4 linked regions of the Drosophila melanogaster genome follow. The protein of the gene in region 3 interacts with the protein of the main gene of each other region in a pairwise test. Each region holds a gene or a part of one and is shown on either strand. Other genes may lie near its edges.

Region 1 (3,150 bases), on a different chromosome or scaffold from region 3:
TATAATTTTAGTTGTTGAAAGCGCCTGCATATATTTCATACATCGGTACTATCAGATTATGGATGAATCGAAAAAGAAGAGGACCCTATGTTGTAAGATAGCTTTAAACTAATATTACATTTTACTACTAATCGATTTTATATAGGTGGCGGAAAAAACGAAAAGAAAAAGTCTAAAAGCCCAAAAAAGAAGAAAGGCAAAAAATAAGATCTTTCAACTTTAGTTGGCTTTGTATTTCCGTACTAAAAAAATATATATTTATTAGATTGTTTCAAACATTTGTGTATCGAATAAATTTATTTCTTACAAAATGTCTATTGAATCGGGAGAGCTAAAGTTGCCTACGGATAATCTCCTAAGGACATGCTTTGTTATTGGCGCTTTTGAACTGGTGCGTTCATTGTATTTTTCATTTAGTTCAGTTTCACTCATGGTCTTGCACGTAAGTATTGTATTTGAAAAGAACGTTCTTTAACATTTTTAGCCATTTATTGTTTTGCATTAGACGAATTGGTATACCATAATGGCCTTTCTAAGTACAATAGCTTGGATTGCGACCGTTGGTGGACTGTTTGTTGGTTTATTGACAGTAAGAATTAAAAAAATTTACCAACTATATACATATTTAACTGTTTCGTATTAATTAGAGTCGACCAACTCTGCTCGTATTTTGGTTACTGTTCACTGCCTTTGCAACTGCTACGGATATTATTTATTTAATATGGAATGTTACTTCATCTCCTATTTTCGACGCAGAACATTTAAAGCGCTGGACCATTTCATATTTGGGAATCTGTATGTTTTTAATTTAATAGCATTCTTAGACATTGAATTATAAATCTTTGCAGTTTACGAGGTCACTTGCTTATACTTGGTATTCAGATACTTTAGGAGATTATATTCCTACGTCCTTTTGGAGGGTGATAATTATGATACGACTACTAAAGGTGAATAGCTTAAGCACAGATTTATACGATATACTATACATAAATTTCAGATAGAAAAACAGAAGATTACAGAGATAATGAGACTCAAACCCAATCTCCAAGTTCAAAATACAGGACTTCTGGAAGATCTTCTAAAGGATAAAATGCCAGTTTGGACAAAAACAGCAAAAAGCTTGATTAATAATGATCATTTATGTTCGTTTCATTATGTTCAATGTCCACACACGGTTCAAAATCCCTTTGGAGTTACTAAAATAAATTAAAAATGGTTTTCTTCATGTGTTATTTGGATTTCTATTTACGGGAAATCAATTCCCGACCCCCCATAAGCAATGATAATAATTGACTTATACAGTTTTCCATCTATTTTCCGATGCCTGCGAGGACGATAGGTGGTCACGTTGCCATCGAGGGACCAGGAAAAAGGACAATTCAATCTCCAGGACCTGCTGACAAAACAAATGCCATAAATGAGGAACGAAGTTCGCCAGCAAAAAGCAGTTCACATTGGTTTAGAATGTTTTGGGAATACACTTGGCAGCTATTTTTAGAGCTCAGTATTTGAATGAAGAGATTATAAATGCATGTAATTTAGATGTATAAATTAAAACGGAAATTACAAAAAAATTCATGAAACTAAATATAATTCGCAGGAACATTGAACTTGGCATATATTGAAAACTTCTGTAGTGTATTGTACTTTTGGCCACTGAGTCTCCCTACATTCCCACGCTTGAATACCACTGTGCTGTGTCCATGAATGTTGGCAATCAAACGGCTTTGATTAACAGGCCGCCAAGACCCGAGTAACCCCCTTCTCCAATCGCCAAGTACGTGCTTATCATCATTATAGCTTTGATTTAGTAGACAACATTGCCAGTGATGTGATGAATCTTAGCCTGGGCGATGGGGTCAAATTCTGATGGATATTTAGTGCCCTGTGCCTATTGCATCGCCTTGCTGGACTTCATATCCGCCCTGCTATTCGCAATTATCTCAGGAGTGGTATTTGCCAGGCATGTAAGACAATTAGGCCACAGTCCTTTCAGGGAAATTGTGGCTCAATTTTGGTATTTGCAGGGTCATTGGACCGCCTTGGTTGCACTGATCTTCACCATTTTCTGGATGGTTATAATCATAGTTTTGATGGCGGGTATCTATAGGCGAAAACTGGGACTGGTACGATTCTGGTTGGTGTTCACCTGCTTGGGAATACTTCTAGATGGATTTATACTGCTCTACGGCCTGACCTTGGCCATATCTGTGAACTGGGAAGGTGTCAAAATCACAGTGCTGCCCTTCGTAGGACTGGGTAGGTCTAAATAATAATTAGCGTATTTAATTTACTGAATATATAATTGAATTTCCTTTTAGCCGTGGAAATGACTTTTGTCTATATCATATACCTACTTTATCTGGATATGATTGATTACAGTGCAACAGAAACGCCTCCCGATGAGAAGTATAGAGAAAGGAGTGGCTGTGATGTGAAATACGCTGAGGAAGAGGAAAAGCCACTGGATCGCAAGGATCTGAAACGGATGGAAAAACAAGCCAAGGAGCGTATGAAAAAAGATAAAGCCGTTCTCAAAAAACTTCAGAAACAAATGCGAAAGTGAAGGTATTAAGTGTTTAAAGTATTGATTTTTATATTTTTAAAATAAACATGAAATTGAATGCATTGATTTGAACTTTTCTTTTTGTCTGAGACAAGCTCTTTAACTTTTATCACACGCAGGATGCGGACCACTCACACCTACACAAGCCACTCACACACACACACACAAGAACGCCAATGTTAAACACAAAATCCTTTTAAAATAATTTGCTCAGCAGTGAGTAAAGAAAAAATCTAGAGATACAAATGCAGCTAAACGAATTCGAAGAGTTGCATGCCCTGTAGATAAATAATATATTTTTAATATTTTTACAAACTTGTCTTTTAATATTTTAGCTATAAAATAAATATATATAACCCTTCATTTTACGTTGTTGAGCTGCTGTCTGAAGGTCTGAAAAAACCCATCTTCATTGGTTGTGACGGAGAGTTTTTAACTATTTTTCCCCTGCTATTTTGGTTTTGAATAGGTCTTTTGGTTTCGCCATAATTAAAATGATGCCTTTGGTGACTGTGTTCTCTTTCATAATCCATACAAGCTTCCTGTTGTGCTATTTTTGTGGCTATAGCCTTATGACAGGCTTG
Region 2 (4,211 bases), about 12 Mb from region 3:
TGATATTGATGGCCCAGCTGGTTGATCCTTGGCTTCGGAGGGGTACTACTTTTCGATGCGGATGTGCCCAAGAGCACGCAACCCCCGAAATAATCGTTTGGCCAAAATCAATTTGTGCCATTGTGCTGCTTTATGGGCTGTCATCCCGGTATAGAACCAGAAGCCCCCATAAAACCCCCATCGATCCATCGGCTTGTTAGCAGTTCATCAAAATTGTTTGCCGCATATTAATTGCCCGATGTTGGGGCTGCTACTGTGTCAAGCGGAGTGCGATCGTATTGCTCGAGCATCGGGTATTATTAATGCCCCCATACTACAATATCATATCGGACCATCACCATCGACTGGGAATATCGTTTTATTGACATTTACGTGCACGTGACTGGCCTGCGAAGATGTTTGCCTTCTGTCTAGCGAATAGTCACTGCTTTAGATGTGCAAACAAAATCGCGATGCTTGCTGCAGCCAATCCGGCGTATACGTAATGAACTGAGCAGCACTCTTTTTGCCCGGATCTGTAAGTTTTAGAACCATATCTATGGGTCCACGTGCTGGCAATTTGCACGCCCATTTTGGGTTTTACAAGGAGATTTGAATGCAATCGATTCGGAGCGTAGTCAGCTCGCACAATTTATGACCGCACTTTAATTGCTTTTGAATTTTAAGAAATATTTAAATTGTGCGAGAGACAGGGAAGTGCGAGTGACAGAGACAGCGGGAGAGCTTCACCACAGCCGTTGGTAAGCTTACGGTAAAACTTCGAAAGGTTTGTGTCTCAGCTAATGCTTAACGCTTTAAATGATTATTTAATCTTTAACATGGATAATTTCCTTGTAAAAATAAAACGATTATTTTGGATGGAAAATGAGAAAAACTAGTTGATCAAAATAATCCATGTTTCCAAGTGGTTTTTTCAATATTTCTTGACTGAAAATGGTCGTAAAGTAAAAATAATTACTGTTTTGTGCAGCTAATTACCAATGCTTACGATCCCTGTCCCGTTTTTTCGAATTAAGAAAAAAAAATTTTTTTGTCAATTTTCGAATTTTTATAAGGGGTAACATCATCAAATTTTGCAAAAAATCGCAAAAATTTAAAGTTTCCAAATTTGAACACTAATCGATTGGGAAGTTAATTAGGAGTAAAATAAGATATGCCACTCCACTTTTGAACCATTATTTTCAAAGTTGTGTCCAAAAAACGCATTATTTTTTAACCAAAAACAGGGAAATCGAGCTTGGACCAAAAAGTCATATTTACAATTTATAGGATTTATAATTATAGAATTTTTTGAATGCCTATCAAATGGGACTTAACCAGCACTATCAACAGCTCATTAATAAAAACAACAGATCAGCAAAACAAACTCAGTTCTCAAACTTTTTAGCAGAGCGGGCAAACGGCTCAGATCCATATGTTGGCCACTCGTATCCATTCGGTCTCGGTTATGTAGAGCCGCAGAAATGCGATATGGGGAACCCCTCCCCACCAAAAATTGCAGGCACATTCAATGAATTCCACAGTCAGTCGGAAAAATGGTGGGGGGGGGGGGTATGGAAAATGCATGGGTGCTAAACGTTTAATAATTGTCGTTGCCCACATGTACACTGCAAAGAATTGTACACTCAAAAATAATCCTATTTTCGTTATGTACGTTTAAACTGCGTTCTTTCAGTGGATCTCTCTATATATAAAGACATTACAGATAATTAAATTGTGAGATATTAAGCACAGAAAGGTTGACTGCATTTCTCATTGTGTATAAGAACAGAGAGCTGATCTCCCCACTGCACTCGGAGTATCCAGTTACTCGCCGGGCTTCAAACTATCCGAGTTCCCGCGTTCTTGCCAATGTGAATTTTGTTTACCAGCCATATCCATATCTTATTTAAATATGAACATTTCTGCCGCCCCACAACCGAGCAGTAGACACATTTTAATTAATAAGCACTGCCAGACGAGACGGCTTCTGTTCTCGGGCTCTGAATTCTGGGTTCTGGTTCTGGTTCCTCGTCTGGTTCTGGTCACAAAGTAGTCAGTCTTCAGCGCAGCTCGATAGCGAAAGATGTTTGCCGGGAGCGGCGGTCTCAGTGCCACCGATCCATCTAATCCAAGGTCGCGGGAATAGGACTGCTCTACTGTGTCGTTTGGCGCCATGTGCTGCTGGTGTGCACGTGTCTACTGGACGGTTCTGCACAATCTCCTGGCTCGCATGATGGACAGCCTGATGGAAGTCAGATCGCCCACCTTCTGTAGCTGCTGCTTCGGTTATCAGCGGCAGGCCAGTCAGGAAGGTGACGTCGCAGAACGGGTTTCCAGCACCGACGACGATCCACAACAGCAGCCCCGTGAGGATTACGTCATTGTGGGTGAGTACGCATCGATCTCTCGGTTTCAAAACAAAGCCAAATCCCCAGAGTGACGGCATATAAACCAAAACAGAAAGCACGATACAGTTCGTAGAGCTAAATTTAACTCGAATTTAAGTTTAAATGATCGAAATTTGATAAATAATAGATAACTACAGAGGCATAAATTAATGTAGAGTAATACTCAATTAGAAGATTAAGCGGTAAATAGGTCCAATTACTAATACAACATTTTTAATTCCGCAAAGACGATGCCGATGTCAACTACGCGGAGATTGAGGAGAGGCATGTGGAAAAGGAGCAGTACTACTTCACAGTGGATCGTCCTACGGCGGAGCGAATGCTCCATGGACGAGAGGACGGGTCCTGCCTGGTTCGACCTTTCAAGGCAGCCGACCAGTGGATCCGTTACATAGTGAGCATCTGGGCGGCGGATCAGTACTATCACCTGTTCATAAGGCAAGTGGATAGGAGACAACGCTATGCCATTGGTCAGAAGAAGTCTCAGGAGCGCTGCTTCGGATCCCCCTCGGAAATCGTGGAGTTCTACACGGAGCATCCACTTCTCTGCACCAACAAGGTCCGGAGCCAGTGCGTCCAACTCCGTCCCATCAGTTACGCTTAGCTAGGGGTCAAATCTTTATTGCATAAGAGAGGGCAAGTATGTACAAATGGGGTTAGCTTAAGACGATGCTCAGGTGGCCACCACCGCCTTGAAGGCGCACTGGTTGTTCTGCATCAGGGCGGGCCAGAGGAAGGCTTTTATCAGATCCGATCGCCGGTCCGCCTGGGGATGCCGCTCGTGTTTCTCGGGCCTCAGGAAACCTGCATGGGATTTACGTAGGTGTAAGATTGTTAAACGATTAAAGAGTAGCTTAAAACCCACCCAGGTTGAAGTCCATGTCCAGGTAGTACGGCGCCTTCTGGTTGATCATCCTCCAGGCCAGTCGGACACAGGCACTGACGTAGTGCGTCAACGGGGGGCAGGACTCCAGGCAGGGGTACTCGTGCAGAGTAGATAGCACCTGGTTGAACACCGACCGCTCGATCTCGCCCAACGGGAAACTCTCGGCGGTCTCGAAGAGGTGCTGGCGAACGGATCTGTCCAGGGACAAGGTGGTCTCACTGCTGCTGTCCAAGGGGCAATTCAGGACTCGCCGAACTTCCAGGACCTTTCGCTCCCGCATTCCGTGGCACAGGCGGAAGGAGAGCTACACAAGTACCAATAAGTTAAGAAAATTATCAATTAGATGACTATCTAATTAGACTTACTTATGAATGAATAAATAGTTTTTCGAAAATCATAAATATGTGACTTATTATTATCAACTAATCTTGATGGTACCATTTCCCTGCAAAAGTGTCGTTCATCTGAGATCGAAAGTGATTCAAATCCCAAGCGCCTACGTAATTTTCTGACACCCTGGGGGCTCCACTTTCCCTCACATTTTCACTGCACCAACGCCTAATCATCCTCTAGTGCGAATTCGATCTTGCAAAATTGATATTTTGCAATCGCAGTTTGTGGTCCGACAGGATTTAAAGCATCCAGAGCCCACGGGCTTGGCTGGAAATAATTGATGGCCAAGCACTTGAAAATTGAAAGTAATCTTCGCTGGATGAATTGGTCTCACAGTTTGAGAGTCATTGTGCTGTGCTAAATTTCCAAACGAAAGCAGTGCAAGCAGTTCGTACGCTGAGCTACTTCAAGATCAAGTTTATCAGCTTTTGACCTGCCAAATGCCAATTGGAAGAGTTCGTCCCAATTTTAAAACAATCGCTATTTTTTCACTTTTGACAAGGGCTTTATTCTATTTGAATAGCCTTAAGAATTGTATAGAA
Region 3 (3,907 bases):
ATCGGAAACCTCATAAAACAAAGTTTACATATTCATTATGGAATAACCAAAATATTAACAATTACACACAAATTATAGTTAAACATCTATAATCTAGCTTATTTGAAAGCAGTTGTATTGCGCCAACCCTGAAGTAAGAGAGCCAAATCCCCAATGCCATGCCAAACTTCACTTCTTTTGGCCAGTTGGCCAATGGTCAGGAGTTTCGGTGATCGGGGAACTGAGCCGGACAGTCGGCAAAGAGCTTTGGGCACTTTGCGAACTCATTTTCCGACTCAATCAAATCAAATAATTTATGCCTCGCGAAATTAACTGGCCATGTGAGTGGAGGTCATGCCACATGTGAGGAGAGTCCAAGAAGCCATGACGGCAACTTGGGGCCCAAAGCACAGTTAAATCTTTTCGCTGGCCATAAAGTGTGTTGATTTTTCCATTTGCCAGACCCTAAAGCGCTGCAATGCGAAATAAATAAATGTTTGCCGTTGAAGGAGAGACCTCTTGGAAAATTGCCTGCAATCGGGGAGTGTTTGAGAATGAAAATGTGCGTTGCTTTTGATTTAGCCAGTGCGTCTTATTTATATACAATAGAAAATATAAAAAATTACAAAATTCATGAAAAAAAATATTTGTTTAGGAGTATATACAATTGGTAAAATTGTTGAGCTGTTATTCACTCAAAATCAAACTCGAAACCATCCTCCTGATATTCGTATTCGCTGCTGTCACAGGTGACCTGAACATATTTGTTGCTCTGCCAGTGATAATATTCCTCGGGTGTGAAGTTGCCCCACATCATGTCGCTGAACACCTGCAGTGGTCTGGGATTCCTTTCCTGATTGCGAATATTCACGAGCTTAGTAAGTTTCTCCCAGTTGCTGTGGTAGCCGTTCAGAGCCAAGTGCTCCAGATTGACGCACTCGGCGACCAGTTCCAGGAGCTGAGTCTCCCGCACAATCTCCCAGCCACTGAAGCTGAGCACCTCCATTTGTTGGCAGGGCATGTGCTGGCGATCCAGGAAGAAATCATTGTGGCACCAATTCTCGCATATCACCTTCCTCAGCTTGGGCAGTTCGAGGAGCAAACTTTGCTGCCACCGAGCTGGCAATTGAACCACTTCGTTGTTCAGGGCAATTCGGGTGATCCTTTCGCTTTTGGCCACCACAATCTGCTGGAAGATGGTCTCCTGATCTGCGTTCAATTGCCGCGAATCATCGAATCGCACGGATAGTTTCTGTAACTTGGGCAACTGCAGCACCTCCGATAGCATGCATTCTACGGTGCTCAAGTTGATTTTTAGCACTTCCAGATTGGGCAATTTGATGTCTGTGAGTCTCACACAACTGTCGAACTGATCGGTAATGTCAAGGACTCTCAAATTGGTCATTGTCAGACAGATATCCTGAATCCAGCGGCTATCCAATGGCACCGAATGGTACAAGGAGTTGAATACCAGCTCCTCCAACTTCTTGAAGCCACGCATATATAAGCCAGATAGATTCATGCAGGTCATTAGGCGCTTGAGATTGGGCAACATTACCGTCAAGTCGCGGATGTCCTCATCGACCACTGTGTTGGGATTGCCCGCCAATATGCAAGTGTCCACCTTGGGAAACTTGGTGATATTGATATCGCACAGGTGTGTGATATAGTCGTAGAATTCAGAAAAGGAACCAACGCCGTCGTGAACGTGCAGATCCGTGAAGCTATCAGCCATGTGTTCCATAAAGAAGACATAGTCATCGATGTCCAGGAGTCCAAGGAATGGTGTATTTGGACCGATGATCAGGTGCAGTCGCCTCTGCCAGAACTTGAGAATCTGTGGCATGAACTGTGGATAGGCCCTAGCCATGCGTACCTGATCGATCAGATTGTCGATCTCTTCGAAAATCTGCTCGAAAAATATAATGTGCAGGTTGTCGATGTAGTTCGGTTCAATTTCCTCCATCGGTGAACAGGTATTATTTTGCTGGGCAACCAGAGCGTCCTTGTAGAATGCGGTATTGTGCATTTGCGACATTGTATGTATTGTCTGTCAAATGTGATGACTGCTGTGTGTTGCTTCCTCGAAGGCTGCTGTTGGTTGAATGTGCTCTTGTTTTGATGAATCTAAGTTTTTATGCAAATTTAGGTAGTGCATTTAGTGAGGGAGTGAATCAGGTAGTAGTGGGGAAGGATTACCCAGTGTCCTTATCTCTTTTGCAGGCTAATCCTTTGGCAACAGCTGTGCCAGCTTTCAGTAGTAGTTACCTGTAGTTACCTGATCTGTAGGATCGCGCCATGATCGCGCCGGTCCTCATAAATTGCGCCGTCGTATACTGCCTGCAATTTGTAAGCCTGCGCTGTTGTTGTTGCTGCAGAAAAAAAACCCTATCTGTACAGTTATCGCTAGAGAGACTCACTAGTTTGCATATTACACGAACCCAGACGTGTTCCCAGCCAACTTCTCTAGCAACTGCCCTGTTCCAGTCCAGAATCTTGGCCGGATGCGTTGGACAAAACGTGGTCAGCATTCGGCTTTGCCTGGCTTGGCTTCTAGGAAATGCTAACAACTCTCGCAGAGGAATCGTAAACGAAGAACAGTCCCACCAAATGGAATAGAATAGAATGGAATGGATTCTGTGCGAGCTTCAACGATCTAATAATCAAAGCCATGTGTTTTTGTCTGGCAGCTTAGCGAGCGATTAGAGGAATCACAATCACAGAAGACACTGAAAAAGAAACTGCACAGTTTATTATCCGAAGAAATACATTTTCTTTTAAAGATACAGTGTTAGAATTATCTTTATATTAAGGGAGAAACGTAGCTGATGAAAACTGTCGAAGCGATTAAAAGCGAATCCTTTTCACTAAAGTATGTCCAAGGAATATATATGTTAAAAGTAAATGTTATAAGATCACAAACCTTTGTTAATAATATATTTAACATATAATAAATTGAAAAAATCATATATAGGAAAGTAAAATATAAAAATATCAAAAATTGAGGTACATTCTTAGTTTGATTTCCTTTAAAATCTAGTAAAATTTTGCTAGGATAGACTTAAGTACAATTATTAAATAATTTTTGTGAGTGTTGAAGAAGGTTCACACCGTTTCCCGGACAAACTTGTACAGTTGCCCTGCGTTTCCCATTGATAATTCTTGGATACCCTCTGTTGTCAATTGTCATTGGGTTGGCTTTTGTCCAGGGACTAATGGCATTGTTGTCAGCCTTGTGTGCGTCTATGGCCTGTCAAAGCATAAAACTGGGCAACAGACAATGCTGACAATCTTGAGCGGGGAGCCAACTTCTTAATGTAGATATAATGCACATTTCTATTTTGGCCCGGTTGGTGAAAATATTTTCATTTGTTCATATTTTTCAACAACTTTGTTGGCTACACCTCAAATCTGATGTTTATGAATTCTCAGCGACTCTGTTTTCTTCTTTTGGGAAAACGTTGCTTCACACGAGATTTGGAAAACGGGTTGGGGTATATCTCTGATGCAAATGCACTTGTCTCTGGTATTCGTTTTTTTCGGCTATAATATACTTTTTTTTTTTTTTTTGGTTGGTCTCTGTTTGACTGTCTTATCTGAGATCAGTGTCGATCAAGGCAGCAGACGAATTGGGAAACATGACATACCGAAGTATGTGTATGTATGTGTATATGTATGAGGGACTCGAGACTGTTTTAATAATTTTGACGTAATCACATCACAACAATCTACCGTGGAGGCTGTTGGCTTTTGACTTTTCCTGACTCCCAAGTGGACAGTTCTTTTTAGCCTCGATCTCTGCCTGATTTGTTCATTTAAATGAATTACAATATTTTATCTTTACACAGAGATCGTTGGAGCTTAAAACGCTGTTCACATACATATCTCCTTTGCATTATTTGCAGGTAAATAAAAATGAAAAAGTTGA
Region 4 (3,513 bases), on a different chromosome or scaffold from region 3:
TCGATTTTGTACTCTGTGCGCTCTGTTTTTTTTTTTTTTATCACAATCAGCCTCAGCAACCAACGCAATCTGTCATCGACCCATTTGTGGCGAGACATCACAGTGCCTGCTCTACTATACATATGTACATTTGTACACACATGGTATGTACATATGTATGTACATGTGCATATACCACGATCGTATCGGGAATCAGAGCACAGTGAAGTCGAGTGCCGAATGTCGGGAGAAGTGTCCATTGTCCATTGTCCACTGTGCACAGTGACTGCAAAAAGTTGAGCAAGAAAAAAAATGAATATAAGTTAATGCTCTTCTTTTTCATAGTTATACAAATTGTTCTATGCCGAAATTACAATTATATCATAAGGTGTTTACAACGCGGGGGCAACTTCCCCATCGCTAGTGTGCAAACATCCCGCACCCACACGCCTACGAAAACCTGGCCCACCTGCAACACAACAACACACACACACACACACACACACACATGCATAGATATATAGTAGATATACGTTTATACGCCATCCGATCTGAGTGATCGTATAAAAAAAAAAAAAACTGACGCACGCAGCAAGAAAGTGCGTATACGCAATTAGAATTCCATTAACTAATTTCTTCTCATTTGCATGGCGCACTTTCTAAGTGCATAAGCAGCATCTTGCCGCTGTAATAGCAATAAATAAAAGAACTTTCATTTAAATTTATTCACTTAACAATCGGGGGAAATGAAGAGCGGGCGAGAAGAACAGCATTTACGATGAATTTTTGAATATTTGTTTGCCGCTTTCGTGGCGAGCACACATGGAATTCATAATTAATTCGTGCATTAAATTTTCGAGTATATTATATTTGGTTATATTTCTGGCTCTTTTTTTATTGTTTTTTTTTTTTGTGTTTTTTTTTTCTTGCCGGCCAAAATCAATAAGTTGTACATATGTGAGAGTTTCCGTTAATGAGATGCATGATATCGAGGAATGTGCGCTGACACAAATATGCAAAACGATTTTCGTTTATTTCTGGTTATTAATGCCGCATTATTCGCTTGCAACTTGTGGCGGGCGGCCAGTGAAAAGCGAAGAAAAACTGGTTTTCCGGCAAATCACAGCAGCAGACCAATGCCAGTGCGACTCATTTATATACACACAAACATACATACATACATAATCACGTTTTCCTGCATCTCGAGATTCTGTGCAGCTGCAGTTGCAGTTGCAGCGAATCGACAAAATGGCGGTTTCAAAAAAGAAACCAATCAGTGAGTAAAAGTAAAATCGGTTTTTCTTCTTTCAATCGATGGTGTTGACCCAATAAAAAGAAAAGAGTGGAATATGTACCACTAATTTATGGTTTGCCATCGCCCAAATGAGAATTCCCAACACGTGTGCCTTATTTATTTCAATTTTAAGCAGTTTTCCGTTTTTTTTTCTTATAAAAGCCGCAAAGAGCACACTTCCAAAATCGGGATATTTTTTAGTGAGATTATATACAGATAGATAGCAGGTGAAGGGCAAGGAAATTATATATGTATTTAATTTCCAATGTATACAAATATTTTATATTTTAGAATTACAATGATAAACAAAAAATCATAAAACTAAAGAGTTTATCCCAAAGTTACTTGCAATGCTCAGAAACTACGCTAAGTAGGCTCCTATTCAAAGTGCTAGTCAAGCGAAGTGAGCAAAAAAAAAAAAAAATAAGCAAATTCAAAAAATTAAACAACCAAAGACATTTTCGAATTTCCCGCTTTGTTTTGAAACGGTTATGGAAGCGGTTAATTACCGAGTACAGCAAACTTGAACACTTGAGGGCGCCAGGCGTGATACGGTATTACCATTCGTGTTATTTATGCGGTATTACTATGCAGTGAATGCACGGGCGCACTTTTGACCGGCACTGTACAACACTGTGAATAGTGCAAAAAAATTTTTTACAACGTGATTAAATATAGATAATTTTCGAAACATAAACGGACCGTAAGAATCCGTTAACGTAGCCAGAGTAAAAGCTCTAGATACAAGCACATCGGACATACAGGAGGAGAGACCTGCGAATACCCGGGAAACCGTAAGGATCAGTCCATAAATCATCATGCCACGAGGAAAGTTCGTCAACCACAAAGGTCGCAGTCGCCATTTCACATCTCCCGAGGAACTGCAACAGGAATCGGAGGAGGATAGCGACCAGACCAGCGGCTCGGGATCAGATAGCGACGATAAAGACGCTGCCGGCGGCAAAGCCAGTTCCTCTGCGTCCAAAGCCAAGGCACCCGCCACACGTAAAGCGCCCGTGAATCGCAATCAAAAGTCTCGATCAGCGGCGGGCGCCGGTGCGGCAAGTTCCTCGGAATCGGAGTCTGGCGAGGATTCCGACGATGACTCCGAAGCGGAAGCGCGCGATGCCAAGAAGGGCGTGGCCTCACTCATCGAAATCGAGAATCCCAACCGGGTGACCAAGAAGGCCACACAAAAGCTATCGGCCATCAAGCTGGACGACGGGCCAGCCGGTGCCGGCGGTAATCCCAAGCCGGAGCTTTCTCGCCGCGAACGCGAACAGATCGAAAAGCAGAGAGCGCGCCAGCGTTACGAGAAACTCCATGCTGCTGGTAAAACCACCGAGGCTAAGGCCGATCTGGCCAGATTGGCTTTGATCCGGCAGCAGCGCGAGGAGGCGGCCGCCAAGCGGGAGGCGGAAAAGAAGGCAGCCGATGTGGGCACCAAAAAGCCGGGTGCCAAGTAGATAATCCATCCCTTTTGAAACCTTCCCTTTCCCATGTGGGATTTAATAGAGCTCTCAATCGTGCAACGTATACAAAATTCGCAATAATCCTTTTGATGAACAGTGCAATTAGTTAAGCATAAATTACCGCAAACATACCTTCAAAATTATGCAAGTTTTCTAAGCCTATCTTTTGTAACTGCAATTAACATAAATAAACCAACTAATTGTAAAAACAGAGAAAGTGCGTGTGTTTCGTGATGATTAATTAGGATCCCAGATTATATTATAACTATATATATAAGCGTCTTTGTATGTTCTAAACTTTAAGAAAGATGAAAATAGTATTCTGGTCTGGATATTCCACCAAATTTTAATGGAAGGCAATCAAAAGAATAATATGTAGACTAACTACTAGCTATGACTAAACTAAGAAAAACAATGCTTTGGACTTGGATTATACCACGCCCCAAACCTCCTCGAAGGCGGAACAGATTTTGGAGCACGCGATGGCCGCCGAAAGTGGATAGTTGCTAATGGAGAACAGCTCCTCCGTGTAGTCCGTTTTGAGAACGCCATGTGCGAAGGCTCCAATAACGATGACCACCGGCTCATCATAGCTGGCCGACGTCTCGTCACCATGTGGCACCAGATCCCGGCAATTGGGCAATAGTTTGCCAGAGAAGCTCATGGCGTACTTCTTGCAACCGACCGGCACATGATCCGTAATCGGATTCTTAATGACACTCATCAGACGACGTGAGGAGTCATTGGCGCGAATTTGGAACTTGTGCA

Evidence for each region.
Region 1: the proteins of bard (region 3) and CG14151 interact in a two-hybrid assay, tested with the Drosophila melanogaster proteins (one large-scale study listed by BioGRID).
Region 2: the proteins of bard (region 3) and CG15529 interact in a two-hybrid assay, tested with the Drosophila melanogaster proteins (one large-scale study listed by BioGRID).
Region 4: the proteins of bard (region 3) and CG11444 interact in a two-hybrid assay, tested with the Drosophila melanogaster proteins (one large-scale study listed by BioGRID).

The regions. Positions count from the first base shown.
Region 1 is NT_037436.4:10,627,157-10,630,306, reverse strand, and holds CG14151 (uncharacterized protein), read left to right. Parts: upstream 1-1,822; 5' UTR 1,823-1,853; coding exon 1,854-1,967; intron 1,968-2,027; coding exon 2,028-2,259; intron 2,260-2,321; coding exon 2,322-2,566; 3' UTR 2,567-2,627; downstream 2,628-3,150. Other genes in the region: CG42535 (uncharacterized protein), read left to right, coding at 12-92, 146-207; CG42536 (uncharacterized protein), read left to right, coding at 311-442, 506-589, 648-795, 849-947, 998-1,089; CG34238 (uncharacterized protein), read right to left, coding at 2,932-3,150.
Region 2 is NT_033777.3:30,150,026-30,154,236, forward strand, and holds CG15529 (uncharacterized protein), read left to right. Parts: upstream 1-2,033; 5' UTR 2,034-2,155; coding exon 2,156-2,369; intron 2,370-2,617; coding exon 2,618-2,994; 3' UTR 2,995-3,063; coding exon of another isoform or gene 3,064-3,194; 3' UTR 3,195-3,255; coding exon of another isoform or gene 3,256-3,580; 3' UTR 3,581-3,674; downstream 3,675-4,211. Other genes in the region: CG11498 (uncharacterized protein), read right to left, coding at 3,064-3,194, 3,256-3,580.
Region 3 is NT_033777.3:18,079,231-18,083,137, reverse strand, and holds bard (bard), read right to left. Parts: upstream 2,091-3,907; 5' UTR 2,018-2,090; coding exon 671-2,017; 3' UTR 555-670; downstream 1-554.
Region 4 is NC_004354.4:4,552,561-4,556,073, reverse strand, and holds CG11444 (uncharacterized protein), read left to right. Parts: upstream 1-1,675; 5' UTR 1,676-2,091; coding exon 2,092-2,739; 3' UTR 2,740-2,957; downstream 2,958-3,513. Other genes in the region: CG3527 (uncharacterized protein), read right to left, coding at 3,176-3,513.